Linked DNA regions of Rattus norvegicus. The protein of the gene in region 4 purifies or fractionates together with the protein of the main gene of each other region. This does not show direct contact. Links are inferred from orthologs where the notes say so. Each region holds a gene or a part of one and is shown on either strand. Other genes may lie near its edges. The genes, in order: Cacybp, Mtcl2, Clec16a and Rnf41.

Region 1 (4,423 bases), on a different chromosome or scaffold from region 4:
TTCCTGTATGTTATAGACGTCTCCATGCTGTCAGAGTTAAAGTAATTTGAAAAGCGGTTTTACACTGGGGTTTATTAATCCGGGCTCCTACAACTAGAAGAATTTCTCCACATTTTATGTGGGATCACTTAATCCAAACCCTGATGAAAATAAACAATATCTGAACTGTTTGTTAAGAGAAGGCAATGGAAAAGTCTGCTATTGAAAGACCCTCGCTCTAGTCTCGGGATGGCGCACCCCAGGAAACACGAGGGACCGGCTTGACGTAAAAGCAAGAGGCCGTTTAATAATAACGGAGCTCCGGGCCAACACGTGTCTCACGCAGGAGACAGAGGAGTCAACCCCAAAACTCAAAAGTCAGGGGTTTATATAGGGAAAGCTAGGGGGTTTTGGCGCGGTTACACACAATTGGCTCATTCAAACATAGCAGTGAGATTACAACACAGCAGAAGAGTACTTGCTAGAAGTCAGGGGCTTCTCAGGGTCTGGAGGACATCTGGTTAAAGTAGAACTCTGAGTAAGCTGGGGGAGATGTCCTCCTGCCAGATGGTTCATGAGTCAATCCTGATAACTCGGGCTGGTTCCTGCATTCCTTTTCTTTATCTTTATGGTCTGTCAGTCCTAGCAGCAGGGCGGGCCCCGTCATGCCTGGATTTGTTTCTTATAGTTTTTGGCTCTGAGTCTGTGAATTTTATAACTTATTCTTTTAATATCCTTTCACTATCAAGAGCTCTCAAAGGCAAGGGAGAATGAAGATTTCGGCCACTTGAAAATGTGCCGCCTTCCCACAACTGCGACTAGGAGACTGCCAGGTAGCCCGTGCAGCCTTCCTACAGTCCCACGAGAGGGCGCCACGTCAAAGGTGCTAGACACAGGACGTCTCCGGAGACCCAATGCCCACTTAAAAGCCAGTGTTCTCTTCAGGAGCCTTCCTCCCTTAACAAATCTGTCCCCTCCCCCCCCCCCTTTTTTTTTAATCTTAATTGTGTTTCTTTGGGAGTGCTCTTTTGTTCTCTCATAACACCTCACAGGAACCGAAGACAAAATGGCAGCCTGGCTAGCTTAGCATCCTACCCGCGGAAGCAGTCCTTCTCTAGACACTTCCTATTGGGTCCCCAAACCTTTGAAGGTTAGTTCCGGAGCTAAATCAGGCCGCGATTGCGAGCTGCGACTGCGCAGCCAGGCTATGTCGGCGCGGAATGACGTCTCAGTCACTGGGGCGGAAGAAGGATGGTTTGACGCTTCTAGAGCACACGTTCGCTCGCGAGAATTGAACGTTGCTAAGCGACCTCCCTGGGGGCGGGCCAGGACTCGGCGGGGCGGAGCTGGGCGGGGCCTCGCGGGCTGGTGGTGGAGCCTCGCGAAGGTTCCAGAGCCGTCTCGTGCGGAGGGCGGGCCGCCGAGTCCCGCCGGGTCGGTGTAGCTCGCTGCCGACGCTGCGACGCTCGTGGGTGCCGTGTTCGGCTTTTCCTGTCTACTTCAGTGCACCGCTGCAGCTCCGGCCTCGGGTCTGACGCGCCACAGCATGGCTTCCGCTTTGGAGGAGGTAGGGGTCGGCCTGGACCCACCGGCTCGCACCGCCCGGTGGCCGCTGTTTTCCCGGGGCTGGTATCCTCAGCTCTTCCCCAGTCGCGGGCCCACGGCCTCCGCGCTGCCACCTGCCTGGACCCCGAGCGTCCGGGCCACGGCAGGAAGGTCGGGGGTGTGTCTGGATCCCAGTTTTTGGCGCGGATCGTGGTAGGCTCTCGGGTGAAGGTCCCCTCTCTATTGCTTGAGCTCTTCTTGGCTCCCGGTTACCGGCTAGGGAACAGGAACCTTCCTTAAATTAAAGCTCATTGCAAAAGCTCTGAGCTCCGGGCCCGGGGCAATTGGAAGGAATCCCTTTGCCTGCACGACTAGCCACGGTGCCACATTCATTCCATATACATTCGGTGTGTTATTTCTGAACGCCTTGGGCAGTGCTTGCGGTTTTAGTTTTTATTGAGCAGCGCCAGTGGAGGAGCTGCAGGCCTTACACATGCTGGGGAAGCGCTCTACCATTGCGTTACACCCCCAATCTTTATAAAAGCATTTAAAAGAAATTATTGGTAATTTAGCTGTGGGAAATTGCGTGGCGTATGGTTTTAGGTTTGTAAAAAGTGAACGTGGATGACTTTTTGGATTCTTAAGTTTTACTCAGCTATATAACAAGAGTAATTGAATTGCCGGGTTTTGGCCTATATCGGTTTTAATGTGATTGATATATTGTGTTCACAGACACGTTGGCTATCTGTTAAGATTTGCTTTTCGGAAATTTCCCCCTCACTTTGAAAAGCAAGACATCGGCTTTAAACACATAAAAATTAGGAAGTTAATGTTAAAGTATTAACATGGGTATCTTGCAACAAGTAAGTAGACTCGGGCACCATGTGCTCTGGGAGAGTGGAGAGTGGCTTAACAGTTGTGCGCACGGAGGTGTAGTTTGTTATTGTCTCCAAAGGAAGAAACTTTAGACTTGGAGATATGAATATAGGGGCACGTTTTTCTTTTGAGATAAAGTTCATCTTATTCAATCATATTAAGGTGTATAATTCAACTTTTTCGGTCGTACACCCATCACTGTTACCTAGTCGCAGAATATTTTTATTTCCTCAAGTAGAAATCCATTGTAGGTACTCCGTCCAGCTGGATTGGAGCCTTCCGTGCTCATCCGTGGTATCAGAAGAGCATTCCTTTTTATGATTGAATAGTATTCCATTGTACAGGTACAATTCGTACTCATCTGCTGGCACACACGTGTTTCTCCATCTTGACGAATGTGAATTCGAGTAAACAAGTTTTGTTTTGTGGGCATGTTTTTAGTCCCTGTAGTTGCCAAATAATAAGAGAAAGCTTTGGAAGAAGTTACCATTCCCACAAGAATTGCACAAAGGTACCATTTCTACACATTCACTAACATTGTTATTTTCTTGGGTGGTTTTTGTTCATGTGATACCATCCAAGTGAGTGTGTAATTCCGCCTTGTGGATTGCTGTGTATCTTTGTAGATGTGTGTGTCCAGTTCCATCCATGTTTTTGTGGAGAGAAGTTGAGTTCTTACATTTTGTGCAGTTGGGTGGGAGAAGGTCTCACTAAGTACCCATGGCTTGGTCTTAAGAGACACCCACCCCTGCCTCCAGAGTGGTAGACCTAAAGGCATGTGCCACCAGACCAGACCAAGCCCCTATTTAACAACTAGGAAACAGAATCAAAGGGGGATACATGTTTATATGTAGAAAACAAATGCATGCCAAGAAGACAAGAAAAAGTGGACAGGAAACTGATCCTTGGCACCTTAAAGTTTGGATGCAGAACCTGCACTGTCCATGGTCTCAGGGCTGTGAATACAAAAGTCAAGCAATGGTTCTTCTGTAAGTCACTTCAGTTGATAGCTTACTCAAGAGTCCATTAGAGCAAAAAGGGGCCGTAAAGACGACATTCGAATTCTGCCATGAGTCAGCTAGAAAAAAGGATTCCCATTCCAGTCAAAAGCAAAAACTCTTAACCTTCTCCGTTAGTTAGGTAAGTCTATTCTAGGAATAAGTATTTGCTTTACTTTTAATATTTTTATTATGTTGATATATAGAATCCACATAAATTTTGAAACCACTGAAAAACATTGAATGAAACATCTTGATTCTAAATTCAAAAGATGAGTGTGCAGTTTTGGATCTCAGAGTCAAGTTTCCTTGGGATTGTGGACAGGGTTTCACTGCTGTGCTTTTTATAAGCTGTTATTAGTACAGCAAATGAGATCATAAAGGCCACAGAGTAATGAGCTATTATAATAACTAGCATTTAAAAGATTTTAAAATTCTTTTATTTCTTGAGAGTATAATAAACTAAATCATTTCCCCCTTTCTCACTCCAAACCCTCCTCCCATTTGCACTCTTTCAATATGAAACTACGAAAGTTTCTCTGTCCCTTTTCTTCCCTCATTGTTGCATACATAGTCTCTGTAGTGTTACTTGTAGGGAAGCTAACAGGGCTGACCATTTGGTACTAATTGTCCAATTGGTGTGCTTTTCCTTGGGGAAGACTTTCTCCTGCCCTCAGCCTGTCTTTGGGGCCAGTCCTTGTGTAGAATTGTGACTTCCTGGGCTTTCCTTGTCCACAATAGCGTGTCTATTTTTGTTCAGCTCAAGTTTAGGCATTCATGTCAAGATTTTTTGGGTGGATGTAACTTCTAATTACTAGGAGTCACAATCTCAGAACAGGCTCCTAGATCCTCTGGTTCTTAAAATCTACCATTTCCACAAGAATTGCACAAAAGGTACCATTTCTCCACATGGTAACATTTGTAATTTTCTGCAGTTATCTGAGCCTCTCAGACCTTAGGTGAAGGAGTTATGCTGCAAATACCTCCATTGGGACTGGGCTCTGCATTTTGATTGTGCTTTTCTG
Region 2 (4,248 bases), on a different chromosome or scaffold from region 4:
CATGCACGCAATAATAATGATGATGAAATGATAATAATAGAGCAATTGGAATATATATATATATATATATATATATATATATATATATATATATATATGCTTCTCTTTGGAGAATGCAACCAAGTTCTTTAATCCTTAAAAACATAAGTTCCTTAATCGACAAGGGTTGACAGACTTTTGTGGTCCCACTGCTGTTTGGAAAGGTTAAACCCATGAATTCAAGGCCAGTCGGCAATATAATGAGACCCCTGTCCTGACAGAGAGGTGTGGGGGGAGAATGGAGCATGGTCTGCATTAGTGCTTACCCAACTGAGGATGGCCCCAGGCACACACCCTCTCACACGGCAAAACCCAGGTTCTACACGGGAGGAAAAATGCAGAGCCGGCAACAATTTCCAAGAACTGCACAACCTCTCTGTATCATAATGACGAGCCCATAGGGGCAGGGACAATCAAGCTAGTGAACGTGTCACAGGTATATTAGACCAGGCTAGGGCTGGACTCTGAGGCTTGGGTGTAGGAGCATTCCCCTGGGGTCTCTAGCCGAGGGTTCCCAAATCACTGCCCAGCAACCTTACCCAGGCCCTGCTTGTACTTCAACGTGGACGGTGCACGGTGGGTAAGAGAAAAAGGAGTAGACCTTGAACTAGCTGGTCATATTGTAGGCCAGGGGAAGAGAAAGGGGAGGGGCCAAAGTAGAAGAGAAGAGGGCAGAGGAGGACGAGGAACCCATGGAAAAGAAAGGGGAAAGGAGAAGGGGAGAGAAAGACCAAGAAGGGTCTAAAGGAAGAAAAAAAGTCTGCATAGTGTCTGTGTGTGTGTGTGTGTGTGCGCGCGCGCATGTGTAAGGGCTATCCTTCTGGGTGGCAAAAGATTGGGCAACCACCATGCGGATGAGTGCCTTTCAGGGCCAAAGAACTTTCTATGATTTAGGCGCAGTAAGGAGAGGGCAGAGGTGAGGAGGGTATGAGGGACCCTGAGAAATCAACTCTGTTACCCTGAGTAGCTCAAGAGGAAAAAAACCCACGCCCACCAAGACTGGGGCCTTTTGAGTCCATGGGGTGGAGACGACCTGACCCTGTTAGTATTCAGGGTCACAATCTTCAGCCCATGCCAACACCCACCCGGCCTAGAACCTGCCCCTCAAGCATCTAATGATCTGGCATCCTCAAGGCACAGCCTGAAGTTAATCTCAAAGACTGTGAAACTGGGGTCGGGGAGACAAGGCTATGCCTGGGTTCACAGGCAACTAGGGTGTGCAAAGTCCGGGATGCACGAGAGGTGCCACGGACCCTACGGCAGCGGACAGAGAGGCAGGAGGAGTTCAGTACACTCCGGAGGCGTGAGACTCAGGGTCTATCCTACTTCCTCCGCTGACCAAGAGCCGACCGCGTGCCAGGTTGTGTTCAGTTTACGGTTCTATAGGATGGGGTCGTTTGTCATGCCCAGCTAAAGGGGGCGGAGTTCGCGCAGGCTCAGCACCCACAAGGGGCGCGCTGCGCGGTGCTGGGTGTGCATGGATGCTGGCTCCGGCCCTTTGAGGTCCGCGGGGCCTCTGCCGGGGAATATTCTCTCCTGCCGTCCACGAGGCCCTCACGGCGACGCCGGGCTTCTAGGCTCCTGGGCCGGGTGTGATCCCCCAGCCCGTAGCGGAGCGATCGGTGTCCCGGAGCGGCGGGAGCAAGCCGAGGCCGCGGCTGCCCAGGCCCGCCTGACCCTCGAGGGGGTCGCTGTTGCCTCGCGGATCCCTCCCTCGCTCCCTGCTCGCGTCCCTCCCCGCTGCTCCCGCCGCGTCCGCCTTTTGTTCGCCGAGCCGCGCGCCCCCGAGCCGAGGCAGCGGGGCGGGGAGCTGGCGGGGCTGCGTGGGGGGCGGGCCGCGCCGGGCGGAGCCGGGGCCCTGGCCTCAGCCGGACTGGGAGTCCGAGGCGGCGATCGCCGAGCAGGCTGCAGTCGGGGTCCGGGCGCGCTCCGGGGGCGCGGCGAGGCGGAGGGGGCGGGTACCGGGCGGAGCCGGAGTCGGAGTCGCGGCGCCTGGAGGAGATCCGGCCGCGCGCTGCGAGCACCCAGTGGCGGAGAGGCCGCGCGGCGTGGGGCAGGGCCCGAGCGCAGCCCCCGGACGCAGGAGACCGGAGCGCAGTCGCGGCCTGAGCGGCGGGAGTGCATCCGAGAGCCGCCGCAGGGACACCCAGGCCGGCCGCTCCAGGGCCATGCGCGCCGCTCGCTGAGACCCGGGGAGGCCGCGATGGAGGCGCCAGCGGGAGAGTCTTCGGCGCGAGGCTACGGCCCCCCGCCTGCGCCCGCGCCCGCCGCGGAAAGGAAGAAGAGCCACCGCGCGCCATCGCCAGCCCGGCCCAAGGACGTGGCCGGCTGGTCCCTAGCCAAAGGCCGCCGCGGCACAGGCCCGGGTGCCGCTACAGCCTGTGGCACGGCGTCTTCGGCGAGACCGGACAAGAAGGGGCGCGCTGTGGCTCCCGGTGCCCGGGGCGCGGGGCCGCGGGTGGCCGGGGTGCGCACGGGGGTCCGCGCCAAGGGCCGCCCTCGTCCGGGTACCGGGCCCCGCCCGCCGCCGCCGCCGCCCAGCCTCACGGACAGCAGCTCCGAGGTGTCGGACTGCGCGTCGGAGGAGGCGCGCCTGCTGGGCCTGGAGCTGGCGCTGAGCAGCGACGCGGAGTCTGCCGCGGGCGGCCCGGCGGGGACCCGCACCGGGCAGCCGCCCCAGCCCGCGCCGTCGGGGCAGCAGCCTCCGCGGCCGCCCGCCTCCCCGGATGAGCCGTCGGTGGCCGCATCGTCGGTGGGCAGCAGCCGCTTGCCACTCAGCGCCTCGCTAGCCTTCTCCGACCTCACCGAAGAGATGCTGGACTGTGGAACTGGAAGCTTGATGCGGGAGCTGGAAGAGCTGCGTTCTGAGAACGACTATCTCAAGGTGGGGACCTAGGGGAAAAGGGGAGTCGCAGGGGCGGGGGAGGACTGGTCATCCGGGCTCAAGAGCCCCAGGGCCTGAGGCCACAGGCAGCCACTTTAACGCTGACCAAACAGGGAGAGGCTGCCCCACCTCTTTCCACTCTTCTCGTGAGGGGGATTATGGCTAAGACACCGACTAAAGGACCCCGATGTGCACTCTCCCACCCGCGGTAAAACTGTTTTAGTGGATGCTCGGATAGGTGAGTTGGGATAGCCAGCCAAGGCTGACCTCCACTTTAAGCTGCCCAGGACCCCGCCCCCAGGTCAGCAGGCCTTCCCAGCTCTCCGTTCTGGAACCAATGTTCTTGTGTCAGGCTGCCAGGGAAACCGTGGCTATCCCCTGGCAAGGAGAGGCAGAACACCATCCTAAGTCCTTACCCAGGGCCTCCCCGGCAGGCCTGTCCTCGCCTGCCTTTTGGGGCGGATCCAATTTGAAAGCGTGACATCTGGGAACATCCCCTTGGCTTGAGTCCACTTCCGCCCAGTCTAACGGTCCCACAGCCTGGGAGGATGATGTCGTGGGAGAACTGGTTCAGAGGCCACTTCCTCAATCCCAGGATATTGTCCTCTGTCCCCTCTGAGAGTGGTTTTGGGCAGACTTGGCCCGTGTTCCCTGTGGGAAGAGGGAAACTGCCCTGCTGACTAGGGGTATTCCCTCTGTGTGTGTAGGACTGGAGAGCTGTCTGGGAGAAACAGTCGGCTGTGACGGGGGACCGAGGTGCAGCCCATGATCTGGCTGCCTCTTCCTTGACACGGTGGCAGCTATGGGGACAGTCCTGCGCTGGCTTCTTGACCTTGGCATGGGAAGCTGGAATCTTTATGGGCTGCACTGCCCCAGCTGGAAGATGCTGCAGTATTGTCTGCCCTTGACAGTCGATGGCCTGGCACAGCACTCAGAGTGGCCTGGCCAGGAGCCATGGAGTTGACAGTGCTCTAATGACATGTCTGCCCTGCAGCTCTTAACTGCCCCTTGCTTCTACTGTCTGGGGGCGGGGGTGTCTTCTTCTTAGGGTGTTGGGGTGTTGCTCTTGCTTTCCTTTGGGTCCTCTATCCAGCATGTTCTTAGTAAACTCCTGTACACTTGAGGACACAGGTCTATCTGACAAAGGACCATTTACCACCTGTTTGTAGCCCAGGCTTCCCCAGGCCAGGCTTCCATTCTTTTTCAGTGAAATGGGGGTATAAGTCTTCACAAAGGCGTAACTCGGTGTGGACATTAGGTAGGTGGGGTTCAGTTGAAGTCTTCTGACGTTAGCTGTCAGAGTGGAGTGGGTGAGGGTGGAGACA
Region 3 (4,486 bases), on a different chromosome or scaffold from region 4:
CTCAACTCTTAAAAGGCCTTTAATCTATGGTCACACTTAGCTTTATAGGAACTGGACAAGGCAATGCCGCATGTTCTTTTTTCACAGATGTGGAAACCAAATCCCAGAGAAACAGATTCTTGAAGCTGCTGAGGCTGGGGCATTTTCTTTGGTGGTCAGAGCTGTTTCTGTCCTTTCATAATTTTTACATGAGAAACCATTAGCCTGATGCTGGCCTCCATTTCTCTAATTCTTGGAAGCAATGCAAGCCAAAATTTATTCACTCTATCAATATTCATTTAAGAACCTGCTATGTGAAAATCTTGTCCTGGGCCCTGGAGAGAACATTGGTCCCCGACTCAATTCTGTTCTTAGGACTGCCACAAGGATTAAATAGCTGTGAATGTAGAAATGAATAAATGAGTGGGTGTTAGGCACAGAGTCTTGCTTTCCACAGAGGTCCCCAGTTCCGATCCAGGAAAGAAATCCTCACATGGAGAGCTTGGAGTTCTCTTTCTTTCTTACTGAATTAGTCAGGAAGGGGCATGGATTTTGGATGGCAACCGGAGGAAACCTCTGAAAGTCCATTGTGGTTAGTTTCACATTGGCGTTTACATTAATGCTTGCATCCTTACAAAATGTTTTAAGACTAAAGTGCAAAAGAAAAAGGTTTTAAGGATAAACAGGGATGTTACTGGTTGGTCTTGTCGACAAAAGCAAATAAGGGTACCTAGGCTTGAATCCTGCCTCTGTCACGTGTTAAGTGCCTGACTTCTCTGTGACTCAGTCTCCTGGATTGTAAAATAAGGTTAATAGCAGCATCTACTTCATAGGGTTGTAAGAATTAAATAATAAATCACTTAGGATAGTGACAAATGATATGTACCACTCAATGCTTTTTTTTATTTTTAATTCTTATTATTGAGATATTGAAGGTTGAATCCGTCACACATAAACACATTCCCAGCCCTTTGAAATTTTTAAAGAGTTAGGCCCATCAAAATGGCTCAGCTGTTAAGCAAAGATACTGCCAAGACTGAGGATCTGACTTCGATTTTCAGAACCCAAATGGTAGAAGGTGAGAGCCTTCTTTCCAAAGTTATACTGACTCTACAAGTGCGCGCGCGCGCGCGCGCGCGCGCACACACACACACACACACACACACACACACACACACACACACACACACGTAATATTTTTTAAGAGAACTAAACCTCGCCAAATTGCCAAGGATGGTCTCCAATTTTAGCTGGGGTTTCAAGACACTCTTTTTCTTTTCTAATCACAAAACTAACATCAATAAGGTCAGAAAGTCATACTCCAATTTCAGCAAACCGTCCCCGCCCACCCTGACAGTGACCCGCCTTCTCCCTTCTTCTTGTCCCGCCTCCTCTCGACGGTCGCGCGAAACATGCCGGTCCTTGTAGTCCATTCGCAGAGTCCTGTCGTCAAGAGCCTCGCTCAAGAACTTCATTTCCCAGTGTTCCTCGCGGCGGCGGCCGTAAAGCGCGGCGGCCGAACGGCCGGTTCCGGCTGAATGTCAGTGCGGGGCTGTGGGCTGGGGATCAAGGTGCTTGGCGGTCTCTCCACCGCCCCCGCCGCTGCCGGCTGGGCTTGAGATGTCGCCACGAGCACCGGGCCGCTGAGCGGATCGGACATGAAACCGTGAGGCAGGCGACGGGGCTGGTCTGCGGACATGTTTGGCCGCTCACGGAGCTGGGTGGGCGGGGGCCACGGCAAGTCCTCCCGCAACATCCACTCCTTGGACCACCTGAAGTGAGTGTGCGGGGCGCGCGGCGGGGAGGCCGCGGGACCTGGCGCGGACGCCCAGACGCGGGCTTGACTTGCGGGGCGCGGAGGTGTGAGGAGGACTGGGGCGCCGCGGGAGGGTAGTATGTTGGTTATCCGCAAGGCTTTGGAGTCAGGGCACCTGGCTTCGAACCCTGACCCTGTCGTTTCTGGCCCTGTGACCTTGGACACGTCGCGTGATTTTTCAGTCTTTAGAAACCTAACCTGAAAAGGAAGGGCATCTTTGAGTTTTCGGTTTGTGGACTGGAGTTATCTTGATAGGGGACGGACAGTGGCCACTGGGCTTCTTGGGGTGGCACTTCTTGGGCTGCATAGTTTAGAGGCCAGAGGCCCGGGTATCGGCCAGATCTGGATTCGAATTTAGTTAACATTTAGGCTTTCGTTTCCTTCACTGTAAAATGAACAGAGTGACAGTACTACTTTTTGTAGTTATTTTTAGGATTGGTTGGATAAGAGAATGAACAAAACGCACAGAACATGTACAAGTACTCTAAAAAGAACAGTGATTAAAAGAACACAAGTATTTTCAGAAGGAAATCTAAAGGGATAGTCAGCAGTAGCACTTTGAGAGAGGGCAGGAGGCTTACAGAGTCCTGGGAACGCAGGAAAGTACACAGAAGAGGCTAGTTTTGGAGTTAGACCTGTGTTCAAATCCTGACTCAGCCACTTAATGACTGTGTAGCTTTGGTCATATTTTATCTCTCTGTCCTTCCAGTTTGCCATTACCAGCTGGGAACTAGGAACCGTACAAGAATTGGGTGATGTTGAGTGCGCCAAGTGATTGATCCAGTATCACTGTGCAGCAGCATCACTAACATAGGCATCGAAGCCTCCGCAGCCTGCTCCAAACCCTTTCTGTCTCTGAGTTCCGTTCCTTACACCCCTGCTGTCTTCTCTGGCTCTGCTTCTGTCCTTTTTAGTTTTTGTTAAACTCACACTTCCAAGACAGGAGAAGCTGCTTGGTTTCTTTGCAGTTGCATTTCCAGAGGATTGGAGGCAAAGAGAGAGTAGTAGAAGACAGAGACCTTAGAGAAAGGAGAGGCTCCAGGGAGAGAACTGGAGATGGAGGTGCCAAGGGGGTGAGGAGAACAGTTTTCAGAAGGGACCCCAGAAGCTTTGTCTAAGTACAGGGATGGAGATGAAGAATGGTGGGGTAAAAACAGAAAGGAAGACAGGGATCCGTAGAAAGGATTTCGGGCTAAAAATTAGATGGGACTTCCCCTTTGATGATGGGCTATAGAACCGCTTCAGTCATGGAGCAAGGATTTAGTAAATGTTTGTGAATTGCCTTGTGTGGAGAGGGAAGAGGTAGAGGGCAAGAATGGGGGTTGGTAGCAATTTAGAATTCTTAACTGGGATGGCAGATGGCCCGGAAAGGGAGTGGGGTGTGGATGAGTGGCTGAAGGATTTGAAGAATGTGTGGGCAGATTTGGCTGTGCAGGGGAGGGTGATTGTCCTGAGGGGCTGCGCCTCCTACCAGCCTAAGCACCTGCTGGCTCTCACCTAACTTGGGACTCTAGCCCCTTTAAATTCCCATTAATGTGTTACTTTGCCTTGTTAAGGATCATTGTTTGTTTCAGTCATCACAAGTCTCTGGGTTTGATTGTGTCCTGTATACATGGACTTGGCTAAGATTCAGGCAGCTTAAGGCAAGCCTCAACTCTTGTTTCTTTGTTATGTCTTTGTGGATAAAACTCAGTTTGAGGGAACTTTTGACTGGGCTGCATGTGATGAATAATGGGACATCTTTGCTGGCCAACAAGTGGACACCTGATAATGTAAGGGGCCTCAGGGTCCTTCCTGATATCTTGGGAATGTCTCAGGCTCATTGTCAAGGTCCTGGGAAAAAGAACTTGGCTGCCTTAATTCAGGCTGATCTGTTTAATCCCTTTCACAGCTTCGGGAACCTGGGTATTGATTAGCATGGGTCTTAGAAGATCCAAGGTGACTTGGAAAAGGGCTGCAGACATCTAGTGCCTACCCCAGTGCTTGTGCTGCCCTTCACCTGCATTCTGAGGACAAACTCCTGGAGAGTCTGCTAGCTGCTGCTAAGAGACCACAGTGTGTCAGGACTCTTCAGTGTGTCAAATACAGGGACAGTAGCAGTCCCAGGGGCCTGTAGATTCCCTTTATAGACGCTTTCTGGAGGAGGCAGCACTGGATCAGAGATCCCCTAAATGGGGCAGTGTCATATGGCACAGACAGGGGTACCATAGTCAGGTTTGTGGCCAGTCCAGGTGGGAGCTCATAGCTATGGGAAGCGAGGCTGTGAGAGAAAGAGGCTTTAGCTGACGTGTAGGACGATGAGCACTTAACATTCGTCCAGATCTGGGGTGAGGGTTTGGGGGAACAGAATATGGGATTTTCAGTGCTGAAACCAGGGAAGTCTTAAATAAACTAGAACAGATCACTTTCCTAGTTATTAAGTGACAGTCCCAAATCCTTTAAAACAAAACCAAGCCAAAGAATTAGGCTCCTTCTGCCTTGATCTCTCATGATCAGGGAGATTCCAGGATGCATCACCTTGCTGGCCTCCAATACATTCTTGTCCTGACGTACGTAGCACAGTCTTGGTGGAATAAGAGGTTAAGACTTTAAGAAAACTTAGAGTTGGGCTCTTTAGTTATTGGTTTTATATTTCTTTCTGCAGGTCCCAGAGGTATAGGGAGGAACTAGTCAGTCTCTCTTTGCTGAGGC
Region 4 (3,773 bases):
AGAAGGAGAAGGAGAAGGAGAAGGAGAAGGAGAAGAAGAAGAAGAAGAAGAAGAAGAAGAAGAAGAAGAAGAAGAAGAAGAAGAAGAAGAAGAAGAAGAAAAGAAAAAAGCTAGTCGTGTTTAGGGCCCCAGATGTTTGCGAGTCAGGGGCAATAACTCATTGAAAGGTCATGACAGACCGCAGAGAGACGGAACTTGAGTCTTCACAGAGAAATCTCAACCTCTCACCACAGTTCCCCTTGCTTGTTGTTGGGTCTTTTTTCTTTCATTTAAAAAAAATACTTAAAGATTTTTATTTTTTTATACGTGTGGATAAGAAAGGGCTGGGGGATGAATATGCCGTGTGTACGTTCCTGGGGAGATCAGAAGGAACTGTTGGACTCTCTGAAACTGGTTAGAGATTGTTATGAGCTGCTGTGTGTGCTGGGAACTTAGCTTCAATCCTTGGAAAACTAGTAAGTGCTCTTAACTGCTGAGGGGTCTCTCCAGCCCCCAGTTGTTTGTTTGAGAGTTTGGAGGGACTGTTTGTTGAGACAAGGTCTTACTCTGTAGACCATGCTGCCATGGAACTTAAAGAAACGCGCCTGCCTTTGCCTCCCAAGTGCTGGGCTTAGAGGTGTGCACAGCAGGCCCGGATTGGTCTTCTTATACTCATTCAGCGTGCACACGTGCTCGTGAATACACACATAGTCTGTGGGACATATGGAGCTCAGCAGTCTGCAGCAGTCAGTTCTCTCCTACCACGGAGATCCGAGGGATCAGACTCACCTCATCCGGTTTGGTGGTGAGCACTCTTACCTGGGAGTCCCCTCTCCAGCTGCCTTTGTTTTCTGAGGCAGCTCTTGTCGTCTAGGGCAGGTGCTTACAAGACGACCTCCTCCTCAGCCTATGAACTGGGGACACCGACTTGCAGGGCCACATGCAGCCCTTGCTCTCTCTTACTTCTGTTGTGGTTAGTGAGGTTCTGCCCAGCTGTAAGCTGTGTCTGAGTCATTCTCGAAGCCCTGTGTGTAGAACACACCTATCTCCATATGGGTCTGCTGCGCTCACCCTTGCCTGCAGAGCTCATCTTCCTCTGGACTTACGTAGCAGTTATCATGTATGCGATCCTGCTGGCTGTTAGTGTTAGTGTTGTGTCCTCTTTTCCATTGACCTGGAGCGGACGGTGTGTCTCTTACTGTTACAGAACCTTTTGCTTGTTTGTCTTGTCTCAACTCATTTCTGCCCCTGAGCACAGGAAACAAGTCTTGTACCTGACCTGAAAACGCTCACCTGTCATTTACCGTGGGCCCCCAGAGTCTGGTTGCAGGCTTCACTGCCGGCCTCGTAACTCCTGGGTCCAGGGTCTCAGCTCTCGCTAACTCCCTGTGTCCCTTCTAGGCGCCTCATTGTGAGCATGCCTTCTGCAACGCCTGCATCACCCAATGGTTCTCTCAGCAGCAGACGTGTCCGGTAGACCGTAGCGTTGTCACGGTTGCCCACCTGCGCCCAGTGCCTCGGATCATGCGGAACATGTTGTCAAAGCTGCAGATTGCCTGTGACAACGCTGTGTTTGGCTGCAGTGCTGTTGTCAGGCTTGACAGCCTCATGTCCCACCTCAGTGACTGTGAGCACAACCCGAAGCGGCCTGTGACCTGCGAGCAGGGCTGCGGGTGAGACTCCTCCTTCCACTCATGCAGGCGAGCCTTCCCGCTGTCACTGCACTCCTGTAGGCAAGGGCCCCCCCGCCCCCGACCTCCTGGGCTCCGTGCCCGCCCGCCTGCCCACAGAGCTCCACTTTCCAACTGTGAAGAGGACAGCAGTCCAGTGAGCTCTGGTGGCACTGGACATTGAGGTGCTTTATTTTCTCTCCAGACCAATGTCCTCTGTCAGGCCAGGTCACCTATGCCAGTCTCTCACCTTCATGTTCCCTTGTGCCTGTTGCTGCCGGTGTGGTGAGGGGGGAAGTATTGAACACTGGTGCTCTGCGCAGTGGAGTAGGACTCCTCATGAAGGAGTGTGCGGTAGGATGCCCACAGAGCAGCCGGAGCGACACAGCAGCTCCCCTCCTAGTTCAGGCTGCCCCTAAGGGCACAGGAGGACAGTCTGTGGAGGGGGTAGGGCGTGTGCTGCTTACTCAGTTGGTGGAGAGCTTTCCTAGTATGCAGAGCTGGCTCTGTCTCGAGCACTGTGGGGCAATGGTGATGATCACACCCTTAGTCCCAGCACTGGAAGGTGGAGAAGGAGAGCAGAAACTCAACGTCATCCTTAGCACCAGCTGGAAGGTAGTCTGTGCTGAGCGAGACCTTGTCTCGAGGCGTTTATTGGCGGGCCCTCACAATGCTGTCGTGTGGGTGCCAGTTCTGTATAAGGGCAAGGAGCATGTTTGGAACAGGAAAGCGAAGAAAGGAAGGACTGGGAAGATTGTTAAGAGTGTGAGTCGCAGAAAGCCACTCAGCAGTTTTCTGTCACAGAATGAGCCATGAGCCTCTAATGTCCTGTTGAATAGTCTGTTCCGCTCTTGTCTCATTCTGAACTGCAGCCTGGAGATGCCCAAAGATGAGCTGCCAAACCACAATTGCATTAAGCACCTGCGCTCCGTGGTCCAGCAGCAGCAGACGCGCATCGCAGAGCTGGAGAAGACATCTGCTGAACACAAGCACCAGCTGGCAGAACAGGTGGGCCCAGGAAACGAGGGGGATGAGGGGACGTGTCCACCTTAGTAAATAACCTCCTGCCCACCCCAGATACCACCGTGAGCACCAGCCACAGCCTGTGTCCTGCTCTGTCCACAGTTCAGGAGAGAATCAGTTGGATCTGTCTTCCCTCACTCCCTTCATCCCATTCAACCATTCGGTCATCTGACATGTGGAGTGCCTTCTTCATGAAGCCATTTTGCTATGTCTTTCCCTGTCTTCCTGAAGACACTTACACAATACTGTTCCTCAGATCTCCCAGGCAGCTCATTCTCAGACCCGCTGATTGGCTTAAGCGTCCTCTTTGGTTCTGTTCCCACCCAACAGAAGCGAGACATTCAGTTGCTGAAGGCGTATATGCGAGCCATCCGCAGTGTCAACCCCAACCTTCAGAACCTGGAGGAGACAATCGAGTACAACGAGATCCTTGAGTGAGTTCCACTCAGGGTTAGAGTTAGAGGGAGGGCAGGGCCAGAGAGAAGAGCAAACCCTTAGCTCCAGTGCAGACTCGTTCATTGGGATGGATGGCAGGGAATCCTGCCTGAGGATGCAATTAGTCCAGAGTTAGCTGAGTGCCATCATGTACAAAGCATGTTCTAAGAGCTTTGGGGTCCTCAGGATCAAGTGGGGTAGCTTAGCACTCAGAGGAGAAGGGGCAGAGTGACGTCCAGGACAGTCTCCAAAACCCAGCAAACCAAGCAAGTAAACATGGGAAGTATAAGATTCTTTCCATTCGGAAGGCCTGTGTAGTGGGTACCAGACTGTGAGTGTGGAAGTGGAGAGGAGTGGGTCTGAGGGCCACAGTGTAGAAGACATTTCTTCATTCAGGATAGTCTAGTGGTTGCTGTGTGGTAGGCACCATGCATTGTTGGGATTTCAAAGGATAACAGTCTAGACTCGGGGATGGAGTATGGGTGAGTGACGTGAACAGCAGGCCCAACTAGAGAAGGATTTGGCTTTTCTGAGCCAATACTGGAAAGAAAGTCAGGCGGCCTGCAGAGTGGAGGTCCTCTCTGAGGAGAAAGAGCCAAAGCAGAGGAAGGCAGGAGCTGGAATGACCATCTGGACCCCTCCACACAGGTGGGTGAACTCCCTACA

Evidence for each region.
Region 1: the proteins of Rnf41 (region 4) and Cacybp purify together in Homo sapiens (affinity purification with mass spectrometry; 4 studies listed by BioGRID and IntAct, with this or other methods). This does not show direct contact. The link is inferred for Rattus norvegicus from reciprocal best matches to the Homo sapiens genes RNF41 and CACYBP.
Region 2: the proteins of Rnf41 (region 4) and Mtcl2 purify together in Homo sapiens (affinity purification with mass spectrometry; 3 studies listed by BioGRID and IntAct, with this or other methods). This does not show direct contact. The link is inferred for Rattus norvegicus from reciprocal best matches to the Homo sapiens genes RNF41 and MTCL2.
Region 3: the proteins of Rnf41 (region 4) and Clec16a purify together in Homo sapiens (affinity purification with mass spectrometry; 3 studies listed by BioGRID and IntAct, with this or other methods). This does not show direct contact. The link is inferred for Rattus norvegicus from reciprocal best matches to the Homo sapiens genes RNF41 and CLEC16A.

Annotation. Positions count from the first base shown.
Region 1 is NC_086031.1:74,978,191-74,982,613, reverse strand, and holds the start of Cacybp (calcyclin-binding protein), read left to right. Parts: upstream 1-1,374; 5' UTR 1,375-1,525; coding exon 1,526-1,546; exon of another isoform or gene 1,547-1,737; intron 1,738-4,423. UniProt on the Homo sapiens protein: May be involved in calcium-dependent ubiquitination and subsequent proteasomal degradation of target proteins. Probably serves as a molecular bridge in ubiquitin E3 complexes. Participates in the ubiquitin-mediated degradation of beta-catenin (CTNNB1).
Region 2 is NC_086021.1:166,158,172-166,162,419, reverse strand, and holds the start of Mtcl2 (microtubule cross-linking factor 2), read left to right. Parts: upstream 1-1,376; 5' UTR 1,377-1,516; coding exon 1,517-2,923; intron 2,924-4,248. UniProt on the Homo sapiens protein: Microtubule-associated factor that enables integration of the centrosomal and Golgi-associated microtubules on the Golgi membrane, supporting directional migration. Preferentially acts on the perinuclear microtubules accumulated around the Golgi.
Region 3 is NC_086028.1:5,627,642-5,632,127, reverse strand, and holds the start of Clec16a (protein CLEC16A), read left to right. Parts: upstream 1-1,508; 5' UTR 1,509-1,676; coding exon 1,677-1,756; intron 1,757-4,486. UniProt on the Homo sapiens protein: Regulator of mitophagy through the upstream regulation of the RNF41/NRDP1-PRKN pathway. Mitophagy is a selective form of autophagy necessary for mitochondrial quality control.
Region 4 is NC_086025.1:1,443,093-1,446,865, forward strand, and holds part of Rnf41 (E3 ubiquitin-protein ligase NRDP1), read left to right. Parts: intron 1-1,380; coding exon 1,381-1,652; exon of another isoform or gene 1,653-1,679; intron 1,680-2,521; coding exon 2,522-2,657; intron 2,658-3,002; coding exon 3,003-3,106; intron 3,107-3,755; coding exon 3,756-3,773. UniProt on the Homo sapiens protein: Acts as E3 ubiquitin-protein ligase and regulates the degradation of target proteins. Polyubiquitinates MYD88. Negatively regulates MYD88-dependent production of pro-inflammatory cytokines.